Drosophila melanogaster: one gene and its partners. The protein of the gene in region 1 binds, or shares a complex with, the protein of each later gene. Each region holds a gene or a part of one and is shown on either strand. Other genes may lie near its edges.

The links.
Region 2: Nup58 (region 1) and Nup358 share a complex: the UniProt entries of both Drosophila melanogaster proteins name them as parts of the nuclear pore complex.
Region 3: Nup58 (region 1) and Nup98-96 share a complex: the UniProt entries of both Drosophila melanogaster proteins name them as parts of the nuclear pore complex.
Region 4: Nup58 (region 1) and Nup214 share a complex: the UniProt entries of both Drosophila melanogaster proteins name them as parts of the nuclear pore complex.

Annotation. Positions count from the first base shown.
Region 1 is NT_033777.3:19,643,191-19,647,440, forward strand, and holds Nup58 (nucleoporin 58kD), read left to right. Parts: upstream 1-1,835; 5' UTR 1,836-1,974; coding exon 1,975-2,898; intron 2,899-2,959; coding exon 2,960-3,676; 3' UTR 3,677-3,716; downstream 3,717-4,250. Other genes in the region: Vha13 (vacuolar H[+] ATPase 13kD subunit), read right to left, coding at 318-488, 548-648, 1,016-1,097; CG6195 (uncharacterized protein), read right to left, coding at 3,780-3,941, 4,023-4,250. UniProt on the Drosophila melanogaster protein: Component of the nuclear pore complex, a complex required for the trafficking across the nuclear membrane. Together with Nup54, required for transposable element silencing regulation in ovarian follicle cells.
Region 2 is NT_033777.3:25,247,419-25,252,367, forward strand, and holds the start of Nup358 (nucleoporin 358kD), read left to right. Parts: upstream 1-1,929; 5' UTR 1,930-2,212; coding exon 2,213-2,284; intron 2,285-2,804; coding exon 2,805-4,949. Other genes in the region: RpS27 (ribosomal protein S27), read right to left, coding at 15-20; Nup37 (nucleoporin 37kD), read left to right, coding at 545-688, 755-1,163, 1,221-1,630. UniProt on the Drosophila melanogaster protein: E3 SUMO-protein ligase. Component of the nuclear pore complex (NPC), a complex required for trafficking across the nuclear envelope.
Region 3 is NT_033777.3:23,775,614-23,783,582, reverse strand, and holds the start of Nup98-96 (nucleoporin 98-96kD), read left to right. Parts: upstream 1-1,961; 5' UTR 1,962-2,418; coding exon 2,419-2,698; intron 2,699-2,758; coding exon 2,759-5,296; intron 5,297-5,375; coding exon 5,376-5,894; intron 5,895-5,962; coding exon 5,963-6,145; coding exon of another isoform or gene 6,146-6,165; exon of another isoform or gene 6,166-6,367; intron 6,368-6,475; coding exon 6,476-6,651; intron 6,652-6,707; coding exon 6,708-6,990; intron 6,991-7,049; coding exon 7,050-7,969. Other genes in the region: mbc (myoblast city), read right to left, coding at 1,195-1,243. UniProt on the Drosophila melanogaster protein: Part of the nuclear pore complex (NPC). Required for MAD import as part of the Nup107-160 complex and required for nuclear export of Moe probably via its association with Rae1. Plays a role in nuclear mRNA export.
Region 4 is NT_033778.4:22,918,722-22,926,746, reverse strand, and holds Nup214 (nucleoporin 214kD), read left to right. Parts: upstream 1-2,004; 5' UTR 2,005-2,092; coding exon 2,093-2,128; intron 2,129-2,184; coding exon 2,185-2,323; intron 2,324-2,382; coding exon 2,383-4,115; intron 4,116-4,168; coding exon 4,169-4,350; intron 4,351-4,407; coding exon 4,408-4,749; intron 4,750-4,805; coding exon 4,806-6,001; intron 6,002-6,099; coding exon 6,100-7,582; intron 7,583-7,675; coding exon 7,676-7,700; 3' UTR 7,701-7,810; downstream 7,811-8,025. Other genes in the region: ReepA (receptor expression enhancing protein A), read right to left, coding at 1-121; CG30187 (uncharacterized protein), read left to right, coding at 7,975-8,025. UniProt on the Drosophila melanogaster protein: Part of the nuclear pore complex. Serves as a docking site in the receptor-mediated import of substrates across the nuclear pore complex including emb, RanGAP and phosphorylated Mad. Protects mbo/Nup88 from proteasomal degradation at the nuclear pore.

The DNA of each region.
Region 1 (4,250 bases):
TGCAGTGCAGATATGAAAAATGCGAGCAGGAAGAAAGTGAGGAAAACAATTGAAACACATGACTTTTCGGATAAAACAACAACGTGTATTGGGCAGAACACAAAACAATGATAATACAATCCCGCGCGAGTGGGAGGCAAACTAATATGCTCGCTTTTTTCTACATGGAACAACAACGAATTTTCACTTTAATGTATGGAATAATAATACAGCAGTGTTTCCAGTTAGATTAACCACTATTATTACGGGTCTAAATTATGGATTAGAGTTGAACGTGGACATTGAATTTACAGCGCACAGTTTGGGGGGCCACCTCTTTACTTGTGGTTGTAGTTTTTGTGCACCTCGGGCGAGATGTTGTACACGTACTGCAGGATCTCCAGGATGAACGGGTCCTTGCGGGTCTGGATGGCCCGGTCCATGTCGGCCAGCTTAACGCGGATATCCGCATCGATCTTGGCCGCCACGCCCTCGCGACTGCCCATGTGCTGTAATCGGGGTTCACACGGTATTACATGTACATAAGTTTCCCTATGTGGCGTCTTACCTTGGCCTCGAACTCCTTGAAGGCGCGCTCGCGCTCCTGGCGGAACTTCTCGATCTCCTCGGTAGCCTCGTCCTTGGCTTGCTTCAACCTCCTTGCCTTGCCTGCGGGATTACCCAGAAATCCAGATGATCATATCAGTTCAACTTGGCAAATCAGCCCTCCGCAAGATGACCTTCCATAACTTAAAGTGCCAACTCGCACAAAAACTATTTACTGCACTTAAGTTGCAGTCTTAGTGGCCACAAACAATTTTAATTTAATTTAATTTAATTTAATTTAGTTTAATTTGATTTATATCTCGAGTTATGGAGGATTGACTTGTATTTACTTTTTTCCACCACATCATGTGACCCACACACAACGGTGATGGTGGTTATGGTAGCACGGGGGCGGGGTGGTGAAAAAATCGCAGTTACTTGTCGCCCTGCCATTTCCAATTGGATTTTTGTTTCTGAAAATGAAACTTACGTTTACGAGCCTCGGCGACCTTCTCGGCTGCCTTTTTCTCGGCAGCGAGCAACTGCTGGATTCCCTGCGTCTGGCTGGCCATAATTTCCAAACTTCTCTAATTCCTCGCCGTGGTGTATACTGTGCAAGTCGAAAAAAGCAAGTGCGACAGAATCACAATCGACGACGAACTGTGAAAAATGTCATATGACGAAGTCACACACACGCAAACTCACCACGGTGGCTAGTTGGTGTGGGTAAGCAGTGTGCCGGAAAGCTGGGTGCTGCGAAACTCTTGGAGATGGCTCGGTCGATTGCATATCGATTAGCTTAGTTGTATATTATTGTTTGGTATTGTATTGGCCAGAAGTATTAAATAATTTGACGTTTTTGTAAGCATTAACTTTCTCATTTATTCCCATCATGAATATTTTTCTTTTATAATTTTGTAAACTTTAATTCATTTTAATTTAAATGCAGCGTTTAATCTGCTTCGCACTGTAATAGTTCCGGCTGTATTTAAAGCTATTGTAAGAAATTAGTTCGTAAAAAATTCTTTATATTATTTTAAAATTGAAATACATAAAGATTAAATTTTGAAATAATTTATTCATATTAATATCTGAAGGCTATCGTTTGATATTAAATAACAACCATGTTGTAGTGGACCGAACTCACCACACCTCAGACCAAAATTAAATATTTGAAAATCACAAATCGTAACTATATGAAGCTGCAAATACTTTATATATCTTTAGCCATAGTGTATTTATTTCAATCAATTTGAATACTTTGTTGATATTTTTCCGAATAAATCTCTGCTGACTAGCTATCGATATCACCGATAGTGTCATCTCTGTCCTAGAAGTTAAACCACAGATGCTCAGGCATTAAACAAAATTAATTTCGAAATTTGTTGCAGTAAATATAGTTTAATTGTTTAAAATTCCTGTATAAATCCTTAAGAGGGGTGCCTAAAGATGTTTACGCCCACCACGAACAACGCCATTGGAGGCGCCACTGCTGCTACCGGCGCTTTTGCTTTTGGCGCGCGACCGGCGACGACGACTGCTCCGCCTCCATCCTTTGGAGCAGCCACCTCTACGCCAACCTTCGGTGCTGCTCCGGCCACCACCTCCTTGTTTGCAGCTCCCGCGGCCACACCGGCCTTTGGGGCACCAGCTGCTACGCCGGCTTTTGGAGCACCTGCGTCCACGCCTGGTTTTGGCGCCACTTCCACTGCGGCGCCGGCTTTTGGAACGGCTGCTGCCACGCCCGCTTTTGGCATACCAGCAGCAACGTCGGCTTTTGGAGCTCCAGCTGCTACGCCCGCTTTTGGAGCTGCAGCTGCCACTCCCGCTTTCGGAGCACCCGCCGCCACGCCCGCTTTTGGAGCACCCGCCGCTACATCCGCCTTTGGAGCACCAGCAGCCACAACGGCGTTTGGAGCGCCAGCTTCCACGCAAGCATCGGCCTTCGGAGCACCTGCACCAGCCGTGGGCACTGTGGCTCCCACTTTCTCCTTTGCCACCCCGGCCACAAGTGCGCCGACCACCGCGCCGCCGGCCTTTGGATTCGGCACCACCGCCACAACGGCGGCAGCTGCGATGCCAGCATCCCTCAGCTCCGGAATTGGATCGTTTTCCTTCCCCAAGCCACAGGCCACCACGGCGGCCAGCTTGAACTTTAACACAACCACGACGACGGCGACGGCACAACCCTTCAACACGGGTCTGAAACTGGGAACCACCAATGCGACGACAACCCTAGGAGGAGGAGGAATCTTTAGCAAGCCAGCGGGTCAGGCAGCTGCCCCGGCAGCATCGACTTTCGTGGGTCTGGGGGGGATCGATGTGACCGCCACGCAACCAAAGCTGGGGGACAATAAGCAAGATGGCATCAAGGTGCTGACCATGAGTCTTTCACAGAGAAACAAAATAATCATTTTATTTTCGACCACTCCAGATTAAGGAAACCCAAGTGCCCGACGAGATAATAAAAACGGTGGATGGCCTAAAAGCGTATATCAAACAGCAGAAGACCATCTCCTCTGACATTGGACGGACATCCACCTCCAAATTCACGAATGTCAGCCACGAGATCACGAACTTGAAATGGGCGCTGCAGAATATGGCCACTTTAGTTGAGGGCAGCAATCAGCAGATCCGCCTGATGCGCCAAGAGACCGTCAAGGCGATTCAATCTCTGGAGATGGCCCAACGCACGCAGGACACCCCAGCCGGCCTGCAGTTCGAGAACAATGCTCCGTTCCAGTACTTTCAGTGCCTGGTGGCGAAGTACGAGCAGGATTTGATCGCCTTTCGCCAGCAGATCGCTCTGACCGAGCGCCACATGCACGCGATCTCGAATCCGCAGAGTATTTCGCCGGATGATCTAAAGCGTGGCTTTCGCCAACTTAATGAGAGTTTCATCTCGCTGGCGGGACGCCTCCACGAGGTGCATCAGCGGGTGGAGGAGCACAAGGAGCACTACCTAAACCTCAGACGCTACCGCCTGCGAGACACCACCAACGTTTTCGAGCGGATTGACAATCCTCCGCTGCCGACGGTGGAACCTCAACGGATTAGTAGCGGTCCAACGCCCTTCTCCAACATCTCGGCTCTGATGAACAAGTCCTATGCAGCGGCGGCCAGTTCCGCCAGCAATGCGACAGGCAATTGAGAATGGCACTCTTTACAAGTTTCAATAAATCGTTATGTCGAAAGGGGCCTAGACTTTCACTTTCAGTTATAGCATAGAATATATATTTCACACGCAACAATCTTTATTTCTTCACCACCTGGATGACGTCCTCGTCGGCCATCACATGGGCAATCCCCACGCGCTGCGGCGAGTATTTCGTGGAGGTGCCCCACACCAGGGCATACTTGAACTGCGCCGCCAGCGTGCGATGGATGGCATGGCACACATGCTCCACACTGACGCCCTAAACAAGGAATATATAAGGAATTAGAGTTGCTTTACCAGGCTGAAGAAGGAATTGGATGAATGGAAAACAGTCTCTTGCCTTTCTCAGAATCAATCCATCGTCAAAGTCTGGAGGAGCGCCTGGCTTCTTTGTGTACACTCTGATGAGCTGGAGAGCTTCCCAGAGCGCCTCCATCATGTAGTCCAGATTAAGTTTCATGTTGCAACTAACCACTATCGAGTTTGGCTGGCGCGCCAAGCGGTCCACCTCCTCGATGGAGATCTGATCGATCTTGTTGTAGACATACAGACAGGGCAGATACACACG
Region 2 (4,949 bases), 5.6 Mb from region 1:
AATTCGGAACCCACCGGCATGTTTTTTCTTTCACAGCTAACACGGAAAAGGAAGTGGGGTAAATCGCAGCCAACTTAACTTGCCCGAGAATGCACTAAATAATGCTGAACAGCTGGGCGATGGCAACTCTGCTGCTCACGCTTTCCAATACTGGAGTGTGTGTTGCTTGAGTTCAAAATTTATTCTGACTTTATTCGTGTATTAGCAATAAATTTTATAAAAAGCAAACGCTACACAGTCGATATTAGGCATTACTACTATTACTATCATTAAAAAGTTCGCCGACGTATGACTACTTAAATATTGTTATGTTTCTTTTTAAGACTAGCCATTTTTATTAAAACTTGAGGCACAATAATGTAAGCATTAAACATAATAACGAATATATTTTCGAATAACATTTCTTTGCGTATTCTGTTTTTTAAAAGTGTAAAATCTTGGAAAATTCTTCCACTGATTTTTGGTCATACTAAAATAAACATTTTTTTGGCGCCGGCTAATTGTTGCATATATCCCGCGAATAACAAACAATATTTATAGAAAGATGCGATCTGTCATCGAGCCCGACCACAGCATCCAGCTTAATGAAGCCATCTACTGCTACGATATATGCACCAATGACTTTGCCTACAACCTAATCGCAGTGGCCTTCAGGAAACACTTGAGTCTGCTGCTCGTTGGACTGCCGGTGGGTTTCCATGCATAAGACCAGTGAAGGTTGAATGATTTTGAATGGTTAACCCTTAATCCGCAGGAGGAGAGCGGCGAGTTCGGGTACACACGCCTGCAGGACATGGACCTGGGCGAAAAGGAGCAGCGGAGCGTGAGCGCACTGGCCTTCTCGCCGGACACCTCGCTCAACTGCACGCCCAACAATGTGACTTTGTGCGCGGCCAACGGCAGCCAGCTTAAACTATACCGCACCGATCTGGGCCAGTTCACCTCGCTCCAGGTGCTCCGTGGGCATGGGGACTACGTCAACGATGTATCCTGGGTTTGCGACGGCGAACTGCTGGCCTCCGTTAGCGATGACTTCACCTGCAGATTCTGGACGACGACAGGCGGCGGGGAGAATGTCATAACCTTTGGCCTGTCCTCCGCTGGAATGTCCGTCAAGAGTCACCCCGAGGATCCCAACAAGGTTCTTGTGGCGGAAAAGAAGGGTGTGCTTGCTATTACCAGTGTTTAGCCCGCGGTGTAACTAAGGAAACTCCTTGCAGGCATCATTCATCTATACAATGTGACGCTCAAGCAGACAGTCATCTCCGTGGAGTCGCCCAAATTCCCCCTGATGTCGGCGGACTGGGCCCACAGCAACCGGCTCTTCATCACCTCGCTGGCCGGCGGAGATGTGGTTACCTGGGACCTGAACCGACCCTATGTGCCCGCGGATGTCAAGCAGGTCCACGAGGATTGCGGCCGGGTGGTGCGCTTCGCGCCAGGCAGCTCCGAGATGGTTATCGCCATGGTCATCGGGCTGACTCTCAAAGTGTTCGCGGCCAAGTCGACCGTTCCTCTGCTGGAGGCCTCCCTGAAATCCTATGGGGGAATGGCCTGGCACCAGCGATTGCCGTACATTAGTGCGGTTTCCGATAGGAAACTGCTCTTCTGGAAAGTGCAAATGAAGTAATTTATATAAAATTGTATGAATAATAAATAAAAGAATATAAAAAATATGATATAAAAAAGATTTATCAGAAGAATATCAATGATCTACACTCTATTTCTATATTTATATTTCATAATTTCGTTAAACTATCATAAGTTTTATATTATTCTTGAACCTTCTTTAATTTATTTATTAAATCCCTTATACTTATTTGTTTGTTCGAAAAAAAATCGTAGCAATCGATAGTTGCTATAGTCATTAAAACATCGGTGACGCGATATATTCGCGCCCATCGATGAAAACGCGTAGTCATCGTTTTTTGTTCCAGCACTAAGTTTGCACAAATTTTTTGGTTTCCGTGCTGTTCAGCTTAAGTTTTAATTGGAATTTAGTGATATTTACGTTCCAATCTACACCGCAAACGAGTGCAGTTTGTTGCGACTGGAATTGCCCATCCGAATCTACGTGATTTTCCGGCCGGGGCAATTAACCGTTCGAGGAATCTGCTTCAATCGGATGACGAGTGAAGAAGAATCTAACGCGAAGCACATTTTTGCAAGGTCTCGTCCACTGCAAATTGGACGTGTTTAAAAAAGTACAGATATGTTTACAACGCGAAAAGAAGTGGACGCACACGTCCACAAAATGTTGGGAAAACTTCAGCCGGGAAGAGAGGTAAATAAACGGCCAAAGTGTGCATCGGAATTTCCAAAAAGAAAATCATTGCGAAATCTTCAGGCGCCGCCATTGAAAGCACACCGTTGTGTGCGTGCGGCGTCTGCTTGTGTTTGTGTGTGTGAGTCGGCGTCACTTGGCCGTCGTTTTTGAGATTGAATAAGAAATTGCGCGCTTTTCTTTCAACGGCTGCATTTCATATACTTGACAAATAGAACGCTTTTTTCGCAGCTGCATGGCTTTCGCCTTCTCTGTATAAATCAAATTAGATATTTGAGGTTATGTGTACCATATCAATCTGCTAGAGTGAGCGCTGAATTTGTAAGACCGCCAAAAATAATTCGAATTTCCATTGTGGATTTGAATGATTTTTTGCGGTCTAACGTAGCTCTATCTAAATAATAAGCACACAATAAGTCAAATCTTACAAAGTTATTCTTATCCAGCTCACAGTGATTGTCTAAAAATTTAACAGACTTTTTTGAACCTAACGTACTAATCAATAAAATGTATATTGTAGCGCGATATCAAAGGCTTGGCTGTAGCTCGATTGTACATGAAAGTTCAGGAATACCCAAAAGCCATCGAGTATTTGAACGGCTATCTCCGGGTGAGGGACGACGCTGTAGGCCATAACATGATTGCCACTTGCTACAGTAGGCTGAACCCGCCCGATGTGACAGAGGCCCTGCAGCACTACCAACGTTCTATTCAAATTGATCCGCGTCAGTCAGAGGTTGTCATTGACGCCTGCGAACTTCTGGTGAAGGAGAACAACGCATCGATCACGGAGTGCGCCAGGTACTGGTTGGATCAGGCTAATAGCCTTGATTTAAGCGGCAACAAGCAAGTCTTCAACCTGCGAATGCGTGTAAATCTTGCGGACAGTAACGGCGAAAGAGATGACACCAGTGGCGGAGACGGCGAGCAAAATACCCTCGAGATTCTTATGTACAAGGAGCTGCAGGCGCGTCCCCAGGATGTTAATATACGCATACAACTGCTGCGCAGCTATGTTGAAAAAATGAAAATAGACCAGGCCTTCAACTATGCTCTAAAAACGGAACTGGAGTCGAAAAACTGCACGAGCCAGTCGAACGAATGGTACGAGCAGATCTGGATGGTCCTTTTCAAGATAGAAATGGCCAAGGATGTAAAGAAGAACTGGCGATTTTGGCACTTCGCCTTGCACACTCTCGATCGTCTCGTGCAGCTAAGCCTGGAGGGCAGTGGACTGGCAGACAGCAGCAAGCAGTTGTTCAGACTTGATCAATATCTATTCAAGTTTAGCACTTCGATAGAGAGGTCAGGGGACGCTCCGCAGCGGGATCTCCACCAGGCTTGTATTGACCACTTTACCGGCCAGCTTCTGCTTCACGCGGTGACACTGATTTTCAAACGTGAGGTTCTGGCAAACAAAAACAAATGGATGAGCACGCTTCGCTCCGCTTTGCCACTTCTGCTCCTTGGTTACCAGGTGCGACCGATCGATGATTCGAGTACCAACCAATGGATAAAACACTGCGACGCGGAACAGAAGCAGTTGATACAGATGTGGCGCCCTCAGGGCGCCTTTCGATGTGCCCAGCTTGGACGAACCCTTTTGGGCTGCTTGGACCGGTCACAAATGGAAATTAAAAACGATAGAGAAAATGCCGAGTTTGATGAGAATAAGAATTCGGGAAATTCTATGCCGGGATTATTTGCCGACTCCGAAGAGCTGTTGGCCAGCGCTCACCAGCAATGCTTGGACAAGAGCTGGCGAAGTCAAATTTACCAACAGCTCTTTACCCACGCCGAACACAAGCTAAAGGATACGTCTTCGCATCTGGTGCGGAACCTGCGTCTGCAGCTGCCTCTTTTTGAGTGGCCGAATCTGGCGCATATCGAGAACTACGAACTGCAAGCGTTGGTGCTGCCGCCACACTCCTTAGCCCAACATGTCTACCTGGCTCTGGGCACCGACCCGAACAAACTTGGAGATGCGCCACGCGTGGTCTTTTATGAGGGTTTCCAACGGGATGTTAAGCAGAATCTAAACTACTGTGGGCAAGATTCAATCAGCCAGGTAGATGTGGACCTCTACCTTTATGCCACAACCATTCAGACCAGACGTAAATTGCAAATCCAGCGTGAGGTGTATGACTCCTCCAATTTGGGAAACCGCAATGCTGCCGCCCGGCCACATATGATGCCATTTGCCAATCTAGTGGGTCAACTAGGCGCACCGGAGCAAAGTAACTGGTGGGATCTGGTGGTGCGACTTAACTCGAACCAGCTTATCACTGAAGGCAATCGCGCCGAGCAACGAGCTCAACTACAACATGGATTGGAAGCGGTGCGCGGCGTTAATGGCCCAAAAGCAGATGCCATCATCATTTTTCAATTGGGAAAGATTTTAAATTCCCGATCGGATCGTTCTTCTCTAGAAGCGCGTATCGATACCCTGTACAGGCAAGGATTTTCAATTTTACGCCACCAACACAACCAGCAGATGGAATCCTATGTCCGCGTCTTTAAGTACGGATCCGCCGGCTCAACGGCAGCATGGCAAGATCTTCAGTCGTTGGCTGAGGAAGCCGTCACCTATTTTAGCGAGAAAATGTTTAGGATTGGACAGTATGAGCAGTTTTTGGACGAGGTCCGGGGACTTCATCTGCCCATG
Region 3 (7,969 bases), 4.1 Mb from region 1:
GGAAAACAGCGATAAGACAAGAATACATCAAACTGCTATTGATAAGGAGTTTCTTTTGAATTTCGTATATGCTGTAAGTCGTTTTCGCATTACAAAGGCCAAATTCGCTACTCAATGCCAACGACTAACTTATCTGCCGCCCCATATTCCAAATATTATCGCGCTTAATTACATTATACCACCAACCACCGCTCACCACCCACTACCCCCGTCCACCTGGCCACGCCCCAATGGTACTATCAGATACTCGTACTCGCAGCGATTTCGACAGCTAGTAAACGCGCAAACACAAAAAAGGGCAGAGGCAGAGGCAAACGTGTGTAAATAACAAGTGCAAACACACCGGCAAGCTCCATTCGAGTGTTAACGAACGAGATTCCCAGTTCCACTCGATCTACCTGGGACTAGAGGTACCTGTACTTTATGTACCTGTCGTATCTATTGATCAGCGGTGAAAAGGTCAACAAAACGAGATCCATAAAAAATTCACACGCATTCGAAGCGGGTCGCGATTAGATATTTCATGGTCACTGCCATTGAATTGGGATTTGTCTCACAGTGTACACAGAAAATAAACATTTCTACTGTCAGCTTGATGCAGCTTGCCTTGGGTTTACAAAGACCAGGTTTCAAATCCCACACCCGTAAATACGTAAAAGTTGTAGTACTAATGTTGTAGTACTTCAGATTTAAGTTTATGTAAAATTACATTAATTGTATAAAATTTCTTTATGTGTACCAGGCCTTTTTTCTGGCAGTGTGTTGCAGTTGCACGTGAGAGACAGAGACAGTATGAAAAGCGAGAGAGACAATAGAAAACAGGTTTTAGTTTCAAGAGCAAATCTCAGAATTTTATGCTAGTGTTGACTGAGCAGGATGAAATGAAATGAAAAACGAAACAACACAGTGAGAGCGGGAAAGGGAGGATCAACAGCAGCCGAGTGAGCGTGTGCAAGCGAGAAGGTGCAACAAGTTTTACCGTAGCAACGCAGCAGGAGGCACACACATGCGGTGAAATAAGAGAGAGAGTTAGAGAGAGAGGTGGGGGTGGAGATGAGGTGTGCTCTGGAAAAGAGCGCCCAACAGTTCATAAAGTTTTCCTTTATTGTTGTTTACAAAGCACTTTGTTTAAACATTCCTGCCTAGCCATATTCTACCTAATTTATCGGCTTAATAGCCGCATTGCCAACTTACCAATGCCGAATTCTGCCTGCTTGGCATTGCAGTCGCTCCACACACTCATCTTGAAGGCTTTTCTTCTCGTTGTTGTTGCTTCTACTAGTGTTGTTGCTGATATTGTTGTTTTTGCGCCGACTTTTACCACCAACACGGCGACAAACGATCGCTACTCACACATGCAAAGCGATGGACTTTCGTTTGCGAAAATAAAAACAACAAGACATTAAATTAGGCAACGGCAAAAGAGCAACACGTAGTTGAAATTTTGATTTCGTTTTCACAATGCCGCCAACACAAGCATTTCGCCTCCGATTTCGCTACAGATTTCGACGAAAAGCACACCGGTTGGACAATTGCAACCAATAAATAATTATTGCACAAAAGCTAGCATTCCGCACAAATTGTCGCTCCGCAAATGCATTTTGCGCCGTTTTTCGCTCGTTTTGTTCTCGACTTGTATTTGGGCTGGGAGTTGGCCGCTGCCGCTCAGCTAATTATCACATGTACACGCACTCGATCGCACACACACTCGTGTGTGACAGTTGCCAATTAATTAAATAACCGCTCTCGGAAAACAACCCGCGCGTTTCAACTGTTTGTTGTGAATGAGCGTGCTCGATGCCCAGAAGTACCGTACTGTTCCCAATCGAAAATATCAAATATAGAGTGCCCCTTACAGCGTGTTCACACCGTTGATGTCAAATGGGTTTTCACTTTGTTCGCAGTACGGTCACATAAAAATGTGAAAATCGAGCTTACCTACAAAATACGAGAAACCCAAGTTATAAAATACATTTTCCACACATTCATAGTAAATTTGCTTCGGAGGCACCAAGCAAAAATTTTATTAAGACCATAAATAAGTTATGGTCAATAGTTATGCGCCTGGCAGTTGTATCCTGCTTTTTTACAGTGTATTTTTGCATGCGATTTCACGCCTTGGTCACACTTTTGGCTGCATTTTCTTCAACATCGTGAAAAAATCGGCGCGCCATTTCTGTCCACTTTTTGCGTCAGACTCGGTCGACTCCTGCTGACTTGACAAATTCGCGAGTGTTTATTTGTTTTAAGCTAAGCCTGTCCGGTCCCACAACCTTCGCATCCGGCGCAGCCGCCCCAGCTTGCCCAACGTGGTGAAATCGAAGCATTGCTCATCGCGATAGTTGGCATTCCGGCGAAGGACAAAGCAGGGGATCTACCTAGTATATGTTTGTTATCTGAGCAGCAGCAGCGAGCAAAATGTTTGGCGGCGCGAAACCCAGCTTCGGAGCCACTCCGGCGGCCACCAGCTTTGGCGGATTCAGCGGCACCACAACAACCACTCCGTTTGGCCAGTCGGCATTTGGCAAACCCGCCGCACCGGCCTTTGGAAACACCTCCACCTTTGCCGCCCAACCCGCGCAGCAGTCACTGTTCGGTGCGGCAGCCACACCAGCTCAGCCCGCCGGAGGCTTATTCGGGGCAAACACGTCCACGGGATTTGGAAGCACTGCCACAGCTCAGCCCACGGCTTTTGGAGGTTAGACACGATCATTTGAAGTGGTATCATGTTACTAATTTAGTAATTTCTTCTTTGCAGCCTTCTCGCAGCCGCAACAGACCTCGAACATATTTGGATCCACCCAGACGGCGGCAAGCACCTCCCTCTTTGGACAATCGACGCTACCCGCCTTTGGAGCCGCCAAGCCGACTATGACGGCCTTTGGGCAAACAGCTGCTGCTCAGCCCACGGGCTCTTTGTTTGGCCAACCGGCTGCCGCCACCAGTACAACAGGATTCGGAGGCTTTGGGACGTCGGCGCCTACAACCACCAATGTTTTTGGCAGTGGCACCGCCTCCGCCTTTGCCCAACCTCAGGCTACGGCCGTGGGAGCTTCCGGAGTCAATACGGGCACGGCCGTGGCCAAGTACCAGCCAACCATTGGTACAGATACCCTGATGAAGAGCGGTCAGGCAAATAGTGTGAACACTAAGCAGCACTGCATCACGGCTATGAAGGAGTTCGAGGGCAAATCTCTGGAGGAGCTCCGCCTGGAAGACTATATGTGCGGGCGCAAGGGTCCACAGGCTGGGAATGCTCCGGGAGCTTTTGGATTTGGAGCTCAGGTTACTCAGCCCGCTCAGCCTGCAAGTGGTGGCCTGTTTGGAAGCACTGCCCAACCAAGCACAGGTCTGTTTGGCCAAACTGTGACCGAGAATAAGAGCATGTTTGGCACCACCGCTTTTGGCCAACAACCGGCGACTAACAATGCATTCGGAGCAGCAACCCAGCAAAACAACTTTCTGCAAAAGCCCTTTGGAGCCACCACCACCACTCCGTTTGCCGCTCCCGCAGCTGACGCTTCAAATCCATTTGGGGCGAAGCCTGCTTTTGGACAGGGAGGAAGCCTCTTTGGTCAGGCACCTGCTACCAGTGCGGCTCCTGCTTTCGGACAGACTAACACAGGATTCGGAGGCTTTGGAACCACAGCCGGAGCAACGCAACAGTCAACTCTTTTTGGTGCCACACCAGCCGCCGATCCAAATAAATCAGCCTTTGGGTTGGGAACGGCTGCATCAGCAGCCACGACAGGTTTTGGATTTGGAGCTCCAGCAACAAGCACCGCCGGCGGAGGCCTTTTCGGAAACAAGCCCGCCACTAGCTTTGCTGCTCCAACTTTCGGCGCAACCTCCACGGCTAGCACTCCGTTTTCAAATTTTGGCCTGAACACCAGTACAGCAGCAACGGGAGGAGGCCTTTTTAACTCGGGATTGAACAAGCCAGCAACGTCCGGATTCGGAGGTTTTGGAGCCACCAGCGCAGCACCACTTAATTTCAACGCAGGCAACACGGGCGGATCACTTTTCGGAAATACAGCCAAGCCGGGAGGAGGTCTTTTTGGAGGAGGTACTACAACCTTGGGTGGCACGGGTGCTGCCCCAACGGGAGGACTGTTTGGAGGAGGAACTACCAGTTTCGGAGGTGTCGGTGGTTCCTTGGGCGGAGGAGGCTTCGGTATGGGTACAAACAACTCGTTAACTGGTGGTATTATGGGAGCTCAGCCCACACTGGGTATCATGACGCCTTCACACCAGCCCATTCATCAGCAGATCCTAGCTAGGGTAACTTCTCCCTACGGAGACTCTCCGATTTTCAAGGATCTAAAGCTAAGCAGTGAAGCAGATGCAACAAGAGCTACAAATCCTGCTGCCCAACAAGCAGTTCTGGACCTGACCAGCAACCAGTACAAGATAAGTACCAGCAACAATCCTGCTCCAATGAAGGTAAAGGCGCTGGGCAGCACACTTAATAGAAAATCGCTGTTTGATGGTCTCGAGGAGTTTGATGCTTCTGTAGAGGGCTTCAATCTGAAGCCCAGTGCTAAACGATTAGTTATCAAACCCAAAGTAAAAAGTGTAGAGGGTGGAAATCCCTCTAGCTCTATTGGCAGTGCTCCCAACACGCCCCAATCTCGACCCAAAGGCGCAACTCCCAACAAAGAACGCGAGTCGTTTAGCGGAGCCATTCCAAGTGAGCCGCTACCACCAGCTGGAAACTCGCCTGGAGCAACGAATGGACGGGAAAGTCAGGATAACGGCCGCCGTGAGTCATGGCTGCATCCTAACAACCTTGAGAAGGTACGCCAGCACAACATTCAGACTGGAATGGATCAGGGATCGCCCCATAACAGCACCCTCAACGAGCTTGTGCCACGTAAACCTTTAGATACATACCGACCATCCTCCACCGTTCGCCTCTCGGTGTCAACCATCCCAGAGAATCCATTTGAGGATCAATCCAGCACCATTGCACGTCGCGAAACCTTCACTTCGCAGCAGGCCAATGAGAGTGTGCTTTCGAACAGATCTAATGAGGCAGAGGACTCTGCAGCAAACCAATCCCGCCTAGCCATTGAGGCAGCTGCTGCAGAGGCAGCAGACGACGAATCACATCCAACAGGCATTGTGCTGCGACGCGTGGGTTACTATACAATTCCATCGCTAGACGACCTACGCTCCTATCTGGCCGAGGACGGATCCTGTGTGGTTCCGAACTTTACGGTGGGTCGGGAAGGATACGGCAATGTCTTCTTCGGCAAGGAAATGGATGTGGCTGGCCTGAACCTCGATGAGATTGGTAAGAGTCTTGTGTTTTTTTATAACCGTTTGTGTTTGCTCTCATACATTTATTTAATGCAAAACAATTTGTATCACAGTCCACTTTCGCAACAAGGAGATTATCATTTATCCCGACGACGAAAACAAGCCGCCCATTGGTCAAGGTCTAAACCGTGACGCCCAGGTCACTTTGGACCAAGTATGGCCGTTGGACAAGACCAAGCACGAAGCCATCAAGGACCCACAACGCTTGCTTGAGATGGACTGGGAGGGCAAGTTGCGCCGGGTGTGCGATAAAAACGATACGCGCTTTATAGAATACCGCCCGGAAACGGGTAGTTGGGTCTTCCGCGTCAAGCACTTTTCTAAATATGGCCTGGGAGACAGCGACGAAGAGGACGAGTTGCCCACTGACCCGAAAAAAGCCAAAATTGCAACGCTTGAGGCTCAGCAGCGGGCAAACGCAGAAAAGATGACGCTCAATTCGCTGCGCCAAGCGCAGAAGATTTCAGAAGATGCAGCCCGTAACTTGGACCCAAAAGCCTTGGTCGCAGGTGTTGCCAGCGGATTCAGGCCAATGGATGATACCGCCGAGTTCCTTTTAATGGACAAAACACGTACGTCTAAAGTCCATTTTAAAAGGTTTAGTTTCATTAATTGTAATTTACTTAATTTTAATTCGCAGAATTTTTCCAAGCTGGTGGCAACTCCGATTTCTCCATGTTTGATCCACCGCGTCAACGTCCAACGATTACCAGTCCCACAGCTGTTTTGGCTCAGGAAATGGTAGGCAACGAGGCGCACAAAATGCAGCTAATGAAGTCATCCTTCTTTGTGGAGGACAATGCTCCCGAGGACGAACCCATGGGTAGGTGGATAATCTCTTGATGGTCTTTCAAATTGCTTACAGTAAAAGATATGTAGATGTTTAAATGTTAATCGTTAGTTTTGAGCAAATATGTATTGTTAATTATCAACGATATTTAATGATTTTTGATCGTTGCAAAAAGTATTATATATATATATTTATGTTTAAAAAGGTAGCACAAATTATAAAGTTAATAAAGCTTTCAAATGTGTTAGTAAATCCAATTCATTTTGCCTGCTTTGGCAACAATTCATTATAATTACAACAATTCACTGCTTATCATCCCACACGGCCACTATACATTTGAAAATTACTCATAAATTTCTACAGAGACTACGGGGCGTCTTCTTCGTCATCGCAAGTTTTTCAACGTGGAACCTCTTGTTTGGAAAGATGGTGCCTCCGAGAGTTCCAGTCAGTACGATTTTGAACACCCATCGCCCGCTCTGCCGATTTCTTCCTCCGTCTCTGAGGCCAGCCTGATGTGTGATGCACATTATGAGGAGGTATATCGACGTAACCTTTTACTTTGAAGCCCAATAAACATCCTGATCAATTTCAGACATCGTCGATGGCAACTGGAAGCATTGTTGCAGCTGTAAAAGAAACGAAGTTTGAAATGCCTGTCACTAAAGCCTTCAAGTTTGTCTGTAAGCCCAAAGTGGCTCCGATTAAGTTGCGTGCCACCACGGTTCCCCTACCCAGGTCCATCGCTTATGAGATGCGCGATAATTGGATCGCCGATTTGGGATTCTACAAAGGACGCAGCTTTAAGCTCAGTTTTGGTCCACAAAACTCATTGGTACTGCCAAGCACCTATAATAACATGCAAAACCTAAAAGAATGTAAGAATATCTGAAACAAGCTGTAGCAGTCCAATTATAATAATTTCCCTTTGCTTCAGTTACTGGACCATCCCTGCCCGTCTCCATGGTATTTGCGCCGCGCTCGGCCACCGATTTGTCGCCCAGTGTAATGCAGTTGGTGGAGTTTAACATGGTCAAAGGCAACGAGGGTTTTCGAGAAAGTATCATTCCCCATCTCGAAGTTCAGCTTAACGACTGCCTCTCAGTTAATGTGGAGGGTAGTGAGTGCCCGTGTATACATCCCGATAGCGGTACGAAACTAGTTTCCAAGCACTTCTCCGAGTCTCTTAAGCAGAGAAATGCTGGCTTAAAAGAGGACTATAGCGTGTCAGTGTGGTCGCTTTTATTCGCACTATGGGGCGATCACGATGAACTGGTGGACCTGGAAAAGAACTCTCATTACATGGTCATGTGTCGGCGCAATCTGCTATCCGAGTGGCTTGAGAACACGCTGCTGGGCAAAGATCTACTCTCGAAAAAAGTTAGCACCCACAGCTACCTGGAGCACATGTTGGATTTACTTAGCTGCCATCGCGTAAATGAGGCTTGTGAGCTGGCCTTCAGCTACGATGATGCTAATCTGGCTCTTGTGCTGTCCCAATTAAGTTCCGGAGCTGTCTTCCGGCTATTAATGGAGGAGCAGCTCTTTGCCTGGCAGCAGAGCAAGTCGGATAAGTATATCGATCTGGAGCGCCTTAAGATGTACATGCTGGCCGCCGGAGCGCCAATGATGCAGTCTTCACATGGGGCCATCAACTTACTCGAGAATAAAAACTGGCTGACAGCACTGGCCCTGCAGCTATGGTATTTCACAGCCCCAACATCGTCTATCACCGATGCACTCAATGCTTATAACGACGCCTTCCAAGCGGAAGAGTGCTATGCGGAGCCCCCAAAGCCCAGCTACAGGGACGCACCTACTGACACCAAGAAGCCCGTCTACGATTTGCGCTACCAC
Region 4 (8,025 bases), on another chromosome or scaffold:
CTGGCTGGTCCTCGAGCGAGTAACTGCGTCCGTAGACGGTGCCCGGCGGATGACGTAGGCGGCGGAGATTAGCTGGCCGCTGGTAGAAGAGCGGCGGCTCCTGCTGATAGATTGGCCTCATGGCAACGGGGATGCATTGCCCGCAGCACGGATCGCAGATAGTTCCTGGCCGCTAGAACGCCGAGCAGAGACTGCCGTAGCTCGGCGTCTAACGCTCAGGCGAGAGGTCTATTAATAAACCCACGATCGGGTCTAGAGAGAACCAGCAACAGAGGAGCACTCAATGTTTACACGTAGGAATGCGCCGCAGTTCCGAATGTTGCGACAGAGGCGTTCAAGAAAATAGCACCTCAGTATCAAGATATTTGAATCTTTAATTTGGAAAGGATACTTTAGCGAGTAATGGGAGAAATCGCCTCGATTTAATTCCTTAGATGTAAGAACTATATATCTTGACTATGATGTTAGTTATTGATTTGAACCGATTACTAATTTCATTATCAAAAGTAAAGTCTAGTTCGAAGTTAAGATGTATTGACATAATGGAAAATGCTAACGGAGGTATTGTGTGCTTGAACAAATGAGGTGCTAGCTACTTGGCCGCGACTGTGCCACACTATGGGCAAGCGTCGAGTTGCGATCTATAAATATTGACAACAATAGCGGAGTCACAGAGAGTCGCCGGGTCGCCGACAGGCTATATCCACATGTTCTGCACCCAAATCGGGCGAGGCGAGTGCGTCGGCCTCGGGAACACAGAGACGCAGAAGCTTGGAAAGTTGCAACTCCAAATTAGGAGTTCAATCGAGGGTTACACACACAGGCCGCGCACACTCGCGCACAAGTGAACGGTACTTTGCGACAGCTGATTAATAAACAAACAATCCGGCAATCAGCGAATCGAGGAACCACGGAAATGTATAAAACTTAGAAATCAGAAGCGTGACGCCCACACAATTAGGAAACGACGACGGGCTTCGTAGGTGCTTTTCTCGCTTTCGAAGGCCGAGCTTGAAAAGTTAGTTTTGTTTTTTTTTGGGGGTCAGCAGCTGTAGCGCTCTCACTCGCACTCACACTCACTTGCGGTGGCTATGAAGTCGGGATTTGCTATAGTAGTAATCGGTTATTACTCACATTATAAGCCGCGAAAACAGGCTGCTGATCATCTTGAGCGTCGCCTGGCTGCTCTAGGGGAAAACTGTAGGGTATTTAATTAGAGTCCACTCCGTTATCCTGGCCTCCTTTCCAACCCCAATTTTCACCTGGAATTTCCTTGACTTTTCCGTAAATTATGTGATTTGGGGTACTTTATGGGCAATATCGAAATAAAATCCACAGATTTCTGTTTAAGTCGATTTAAATTTCATTTACTTTTTGGTAACTGCGATTGAATTCGAAGGATTTCGAGATTAATTGGCTACGCAATTTTTAGCACCGTGTTGCGTCGCCTGTGGATAATTGCGAATCGCCAGCTCGACCTCTACTACATGGCTTTGTGCAATCACAGTCGAAACAGCCGATGCTTTGTGCCCTGCTTTGCAAATGCATTCGCATTGCCCGCGAACAAATCGCTTTTGTTTAATTCTCAGCAAACAAAAAGAAACGCTTGTAGGACAGAGACAGACGAACAACAACAAGGCTGCTGCGCTAGCGATGTGCTGAAATTTTCGTTCTCGCACATACTGTCCAAAACAAAATACCGTCTGAAAAAATACCAACAAAGTGCAATTGCCATATGGTCAACCGCTAAGACAAGATTGGTGAATACTTAATTCAAGCTAAGTTGGTTTCTTTTAGTTAACAAGTTCATCAGTTAGTTATAGGAGAAAACTATTTTTATATAAGATTTTATCCCATTTTCTTTTTAAAGGAACATCTATGAAATTTAAATCAGATTGTATTGTATATGTTGTTGGATTTTTTGGTGGTGAGTTTTTGTGGTGAGTTTCCTGAAAGTGACCGTACTGCAAGTGGCGCGCTTTTTGCTTGCCAACGTTTCCAACGATCTCAACTTGCAGCCACACCATCGACTCGATTGGGAAATCGACAAGCCGCAAAAAATTTGGCGAAATAGGAGCGAAAACAGACAAAAATGGCGCAGAATGCACCAGACTGCGAGGACACGCAGGTAAGCACAATTGCATAGCACTGAGATGTCAAACATTCCATTGGTTTTGGTCGCAGGACTTTCAATTCAAACTGCACCACAAGATTGTTGCGTTCAAAAAATGCGGTGAGCCCCGCAGCAATGTGAACCTGCTGGCGGTCTCCAGTAGCCGGGGATTGCTCTTTGCCGGGAGTCCAACGCAGCCGGAACTCAAAGGTAATGTAGCTTGAGTTAGCTAGGCTAAATATATAAATTTATCCTGGCACTCCTTGCAGTGATTATTGTAAAGGATTTGGTCAATGCGAAGAGCACAGCCCAACAGCCGCAGGCGCGTCTGGTGCCACTGCCCAGTATTCCGAATTACATTGCCTGCAGCTCCGATGGCAACCTGCTGGCCGTGAATCACACCCAGAACGGCACCAGCCTGCTCAGCATATATGCGGTGCTATCGTTCATGACCCCTGATGTACGTCCTGTTTATAATATTCGCCTCGCCGCCGAGGATCACGTGCACGGCGTCCAGCTCCTCTGGAATCCCGTGCTGCCCAACAGCCTGGCCGTTGTTTTGAGCAACGGAGCGCTCGCGATGTATGCCCTGAAGGAGGGGGGAAACTTTGAAATGCACTCGCTGGACAAAAATCAACAAGTTAAGTGCGGCTGCTGGTCGCCCAAGGGCAAACAGATCGTTCTTGGTTTTCCCGGCGGCACGGTGAAGCAGTTCAAGCCGGATCTGACTCTGGCCAAGACGCTTTTGTGTCCTCCGAATATACATGATGCCCCCTTTGACACCATTGCTATACAGTGGCTGTCGACTTTCCAGTTTGCAGTGATCTTTCTCCAGCATGGCGAGGACTGTAGCCCCTCGCTTTACATTCTAAATGCTCCCAAGGCTGGTGCGCCCAGCTACATAAACTACTATGACATCTGCTATAGCATGAACGGCCCGAGGAATCATCAGTTCGTATTTAGCCATGTGCCCCAGTGGAATCTGCTGCTCGTAGTCTCGGCCAATGGCGTAGAGGTGGGCATCATGCGGTCAACCGAGGCCGGCGATACACCCGCTTGGCAGCAGCTTACATTGCTGGATGAGGCACGCATTGAAATGCCCCTAAGTGAGGACAAGGATGAGACCTTCCCGCTGGGCTTTGCCTTCGACACTTCTACAACGCACCAGCTGACGATAAATGAGAAGAAGCTGCAGACTATGCCCATGGTTCATGTTTTGAGTTCGGATGGAGAATTGCTCTCGTTCAACTTTCTTAATGTGCTGCCGACGGCGGTGTCTGTTTGTTCGCCACCTCCTCCAGTGGCCGATACTTCTGGGCAGTTCAAGCCGTTGAATATGCTGCTTGCTAGTGAGGAAGAAGAGCAGCCAGCTTGGGCAGCCAGTCCCTCCAAGGCTCCAGCTGCAACTCCTGCTGCTTCCTCGGACATATCCTTTGCATTTACACCGAATACCGTTACTTCAACCCCAGCTCCCTCGAAGGATAAGCAACCATCATTGTTTTCTGGCTTTGGAGCAGCTGCAGCTAAGGCACCTGCTCCGCAACTATCTTTTGGTACTGCTCCGACTTCTAGTCCGGTTTCGTTTGGTGCTCCAACTACCAATGCAGCCAAGCCAACAACACCGTTTGGTGGGTTTGGCACGCAGGCAACGACTACTGCCATGGGAAGCATGTTTTCGGCTTCAGGAGCAAATGCCTTTGGGGGAATGGCATTGAATAAACCGGCTATTGCCAGTGTGACACCCCGAACAGCGGCACCTGGGTCAACAGTACCCGCAACTCCTGCTTCTGCTCCAGCAAACAAACCACTGTACACGGTTCCTTTAACATTCACACCAGTGGACACAAAACCAGCCACTTCAGCTCCTCCACAAATCGCAGATGAAAGTCTTAAGCCTGATGACACTGAGCCTATTATCAAGGACATGATTGCCCTACAAATCGAAGCCTTTAGCAAGGATATCCAAAAGCAAAAGGAACAGACGAAGGAACTCCTCAAAGGCGTAAGTAGTGTTGGTATTACACTGCTTCATGTATTAAAGTTGTTATTCCGCAGATTGCAGCACCATCTGCTTTGAGGGCATACGCAAAGAGACTGGATGACCTCCAAGAGCTCAATGAACAAGCCAAGGATGTGGAGTTCGAGTTAGATGTACAGGGATTGCGACAGGGTCTTAATGAGGCCTATGCCATCGTAGCAGAGTGCCGCGGGAAACTGGAGATTTATAGAAAACCAGAGTGGGTAAAGGACTCTTTGAATATATAAGCTATTTAAAACCCGTAATTTTCGTTTAGGATTACGCGTTTAATGAACTCAAGCTCCTGTGATCCCTCTGGCCGTCGCATGCTAGCTCGTCTTCAGAGCTACGTGGCTGCCAATGAGGCCCAGCTGCGTCTTGCCCAGCAGCATGTCGATTTGCAGTGGGAACAGTTTCAGGATGTTGTGCGGCGCAATTCGAAGTCTCGCATGCACATGCCTTGCCTAGAGGGAATCTATCAACGACTGACAAGACTACAAAATCTAACTTCTAACCAGCGAATTGTACAGAACAACATCAAGTCCAAACTGAAGGAGCGCGGATTGCTTCAGGCCGCACTGCTCGACCAGGAGAAAAGTCGCACCCGCACCAACGAAGCGTTAGTAGAAGTTATTGTGACCTCTCTCTTTATGCGACTATAACTTTTTTATTTAGAGTGGATACATTGACCGACTCCATTCTCACGATGAGTCTTAGCCAGGTAGTGGACTCTAATGCAGCCAAGCTCACTCGAGAAAGACTACAAAAAATCCGTAATATTGTTCAGCTGCAGAAGATCAATGTTATTTGTCCCCAGCGACCAGATCGAGTGGGGCTCAAGTCGGAGGTTATTTTGGAAACGAAACGTAGGGCGGAGCAAATTAAAAGGGCAGCAGCCAAGCCTGCAACAGCCAACAAATACACCCAAGCAGCAGTCGCTCCGCCTTCACCACCAGATGTTGCACCCACGCCAGCTGTTGCACCCATGCCACAAGCAACTGTTACAGTGGCTCCTCCGCTGCCTAAACCAATGCCATCTATACCGTCCGTTGTGGAAAAGCCTGGAGTGCCCACACATCCGACAACTCCAGTGGCTACGCCATTTTCCTTCAGCCAAAGCATCCCATTTGTGAAGACATCTACTGTGACGCCAACGACAAATACTGTGACTCCTGGCGAAGCAGCCAAGCCGGGTTTATCCATTTTCGGCGGCAGTACTATTTCCAGCTTTAGTTTTGGTGGTGGTGCTGCCAAGTCGGCACTCTCATTCGGAACAGGATCGCCAGCCGTGGCAGCTCCTACACCAAAACCAAACCCGTTGTCAGCGGTCGAAAAACCAACACCCGAGCCGACTAAGCCCAAAGAGCAGAAAGCAGCAGAAAGCAAAGAATTCAAGGCGGTACAACCCGAAACAGAAGAGTCAAAAGTACCCCAAAAACCAAAGGCAGAGACGGAAAACAAATCCTTTGGATTTGGAGGATTTACAGGAACTGGAGGTACTGTCGGAAATACTTCCAGCTCCCCGTTCAGCTTTGGCGGACTGGGTTCATCTCTAGGCTTCGGAGGAACAGCCGCTGCTGTGCCAAAATCTGAACCTTCCAGCACAGCAACCACTAGTGTAGCCACATCAGCTTCAACTGCACCATTTGGCATCTTCTCAGCAGCTTTGGCGAAACCATCCAACTCTGAACCGATCACCACGGTCACTAGCAACACAACCACCATCACCAGCAAGCCTACGAATGTAATTGCTTCGAGCAGCGTAACTGATGCTCCTTCCGTCACCACAACAAATGCAGTGACCAGCAGCACGGATCCTATTGGAGGCCTCTTTAGCTCTGTGACTATCTGCAAGCCCAACACTCCTGCAGGTAAGCTATAGTTTCCTTTATCAATATACCTTACGCATAAATGTATACGCTTATTTGGCATAAACTCTAAACGGCTATATATGTCTTTTACTTTGCAGATACCACCAAACCAGCCAACATTTTTGGAGGAGGTTTATCCGCTGGTAGCTTTTCATTTGGCGGAACGATTGATGCCTCAAAGGGATTATTCGGCAGTACCAAACCAGTGGCAACAGCTCCCACAAGTGTGACGGAGGCGAACAACAAAACTGATCCTATTTCAACCACCCCATCAGCCATTTCGACTACTACTGCTACGACGACTGTGTCTAGTCCAGCAGTAGTTCCTGCGGCAGTTACCGCAGCAGTTCCGGCAACATCGAGCACAACGGTAACATCTAGCACTGCTGTTCCCGGCAGTGCGTTCTCCTTCTCAAACGCATTTAGCACCCTAAGTGCGGGAGGTGCTGCAGCTCCAACTACCAGCGCTTCAGCTCCCTTAGCTGCCAAAAGCCCAACCGCTACATCTACAGGCAATAACTCGTCGAATTCAGTGTTTGGTGGTGGCTTCGCAGTAGCAACATCAACAGCGGCTCCAGTGGCTAGTCCCTTTCAGTCAGCTGCAAAAAGTCCAGTTTCGAGTGCAAACATTTTTGGCAGTATACCTAAGGCGGAGACCAGCGTTTTCGGAGGAGCTACAACTGCTCCTTCAAACACCACGGCTGCGGCAACACCAGATGCACCACCAGCGGGTCTCTTTGCATCGGCCGCGATTAGTAACCCTTCGCCGTTTGGTAGTCCCACGACTAGAGCACCAGCCTCTGGCGGTAACATTTTTGGTCAGGCTGTTAAGCCAAGTGTCTTTGGACAACCAGCACAAGCAGGCGATAGCGGAGGATCTATTTTTGGTGGCGGATCCGCCAGTACACCTTTTGGATCCAGCTCAATTTTTGGAGGAGGTAATACGCAGGGCGCAGTCGGCGCTCCGGCTGCAGGAAGTACTTCAATTTTTGGCCAAAAAGTGTTTGGTCAATCATCAGCGGCTGCACCGGCAGCAGGTGGGAATATATTCTCCAATCCCGTCGGCAGTCCGCAAGCTTCTCCTTTTGGTGGCGGAGGAAACTCTATTTTCGGATCACCAGCAACAGCTCCGCCCGCATCTGGCGGATCGATCTTTGGGGGTGGCAGCAGCTCTGGTGGATTTGGCTCCTTCACGCAGACGACACCAGCTCAGGGGGGCTTCGGTGGTGGATTTGGCCAGGGCGGGGGTGGATCTGTGGCCCAGACAGGTTTTGGCTCACCACAAGCCCCGCAGCAGCAAACTACGACACCAGGTGGGTTTGGAGCCAAGCCCGTTTTCGGTGGATCCCCGGCCTTTGGAGCTAGCCCCACTTTTGGGGGAGGTGCCACCTTTGGCAGTCCGAAGGGTTTCGGTGGATTTGGCGGTGCCAGCCCAGTAGCCTCCCCTCCACCCTTTGGTGCTGCTGCAAAGCCGGCACAGGGAAACATTTTTGAAACGTTGGGGGGACAGGAATCGGGACTCTCTTTCGGAAATCTAGCACAGACTGGAAACTCAAATGCACAGAAACCAGCGTTTGGCGGGTAAGTTCGACCGACATACATACATATGCATACTTATATAAGTATTTCCAAGAATGCATACGACTAACGAAATATTAAATTTTACTATTTCAGATCGAGCTTTATGAATTATCGTTGAGTTCATAATAAATGTGTTGCATAACTCAATAGTTTTGCTTGTTCAGTTTTCATGAAATAAGAATACCAGTTAAAATTAAAAATCTTAAATCTTAAATCTTTATTAAAATTAAAAAAAAAAAAACTGTGTTTTTACTTCACGCGAAATGTGTGTACTGAACTTTATTTAGTATTTATAGTCTAGTATGATAAGGGTTTCTTTTTTTATGAAATACTTGCTATGGTATTATGCTCATGCTAAGGTTATCACCTATTTCATTCGAACATCTCATGAGATGCAGACACGTCTGGCTTGGATTCCCGTCATTTTTTGGTTCCTCAAAGAT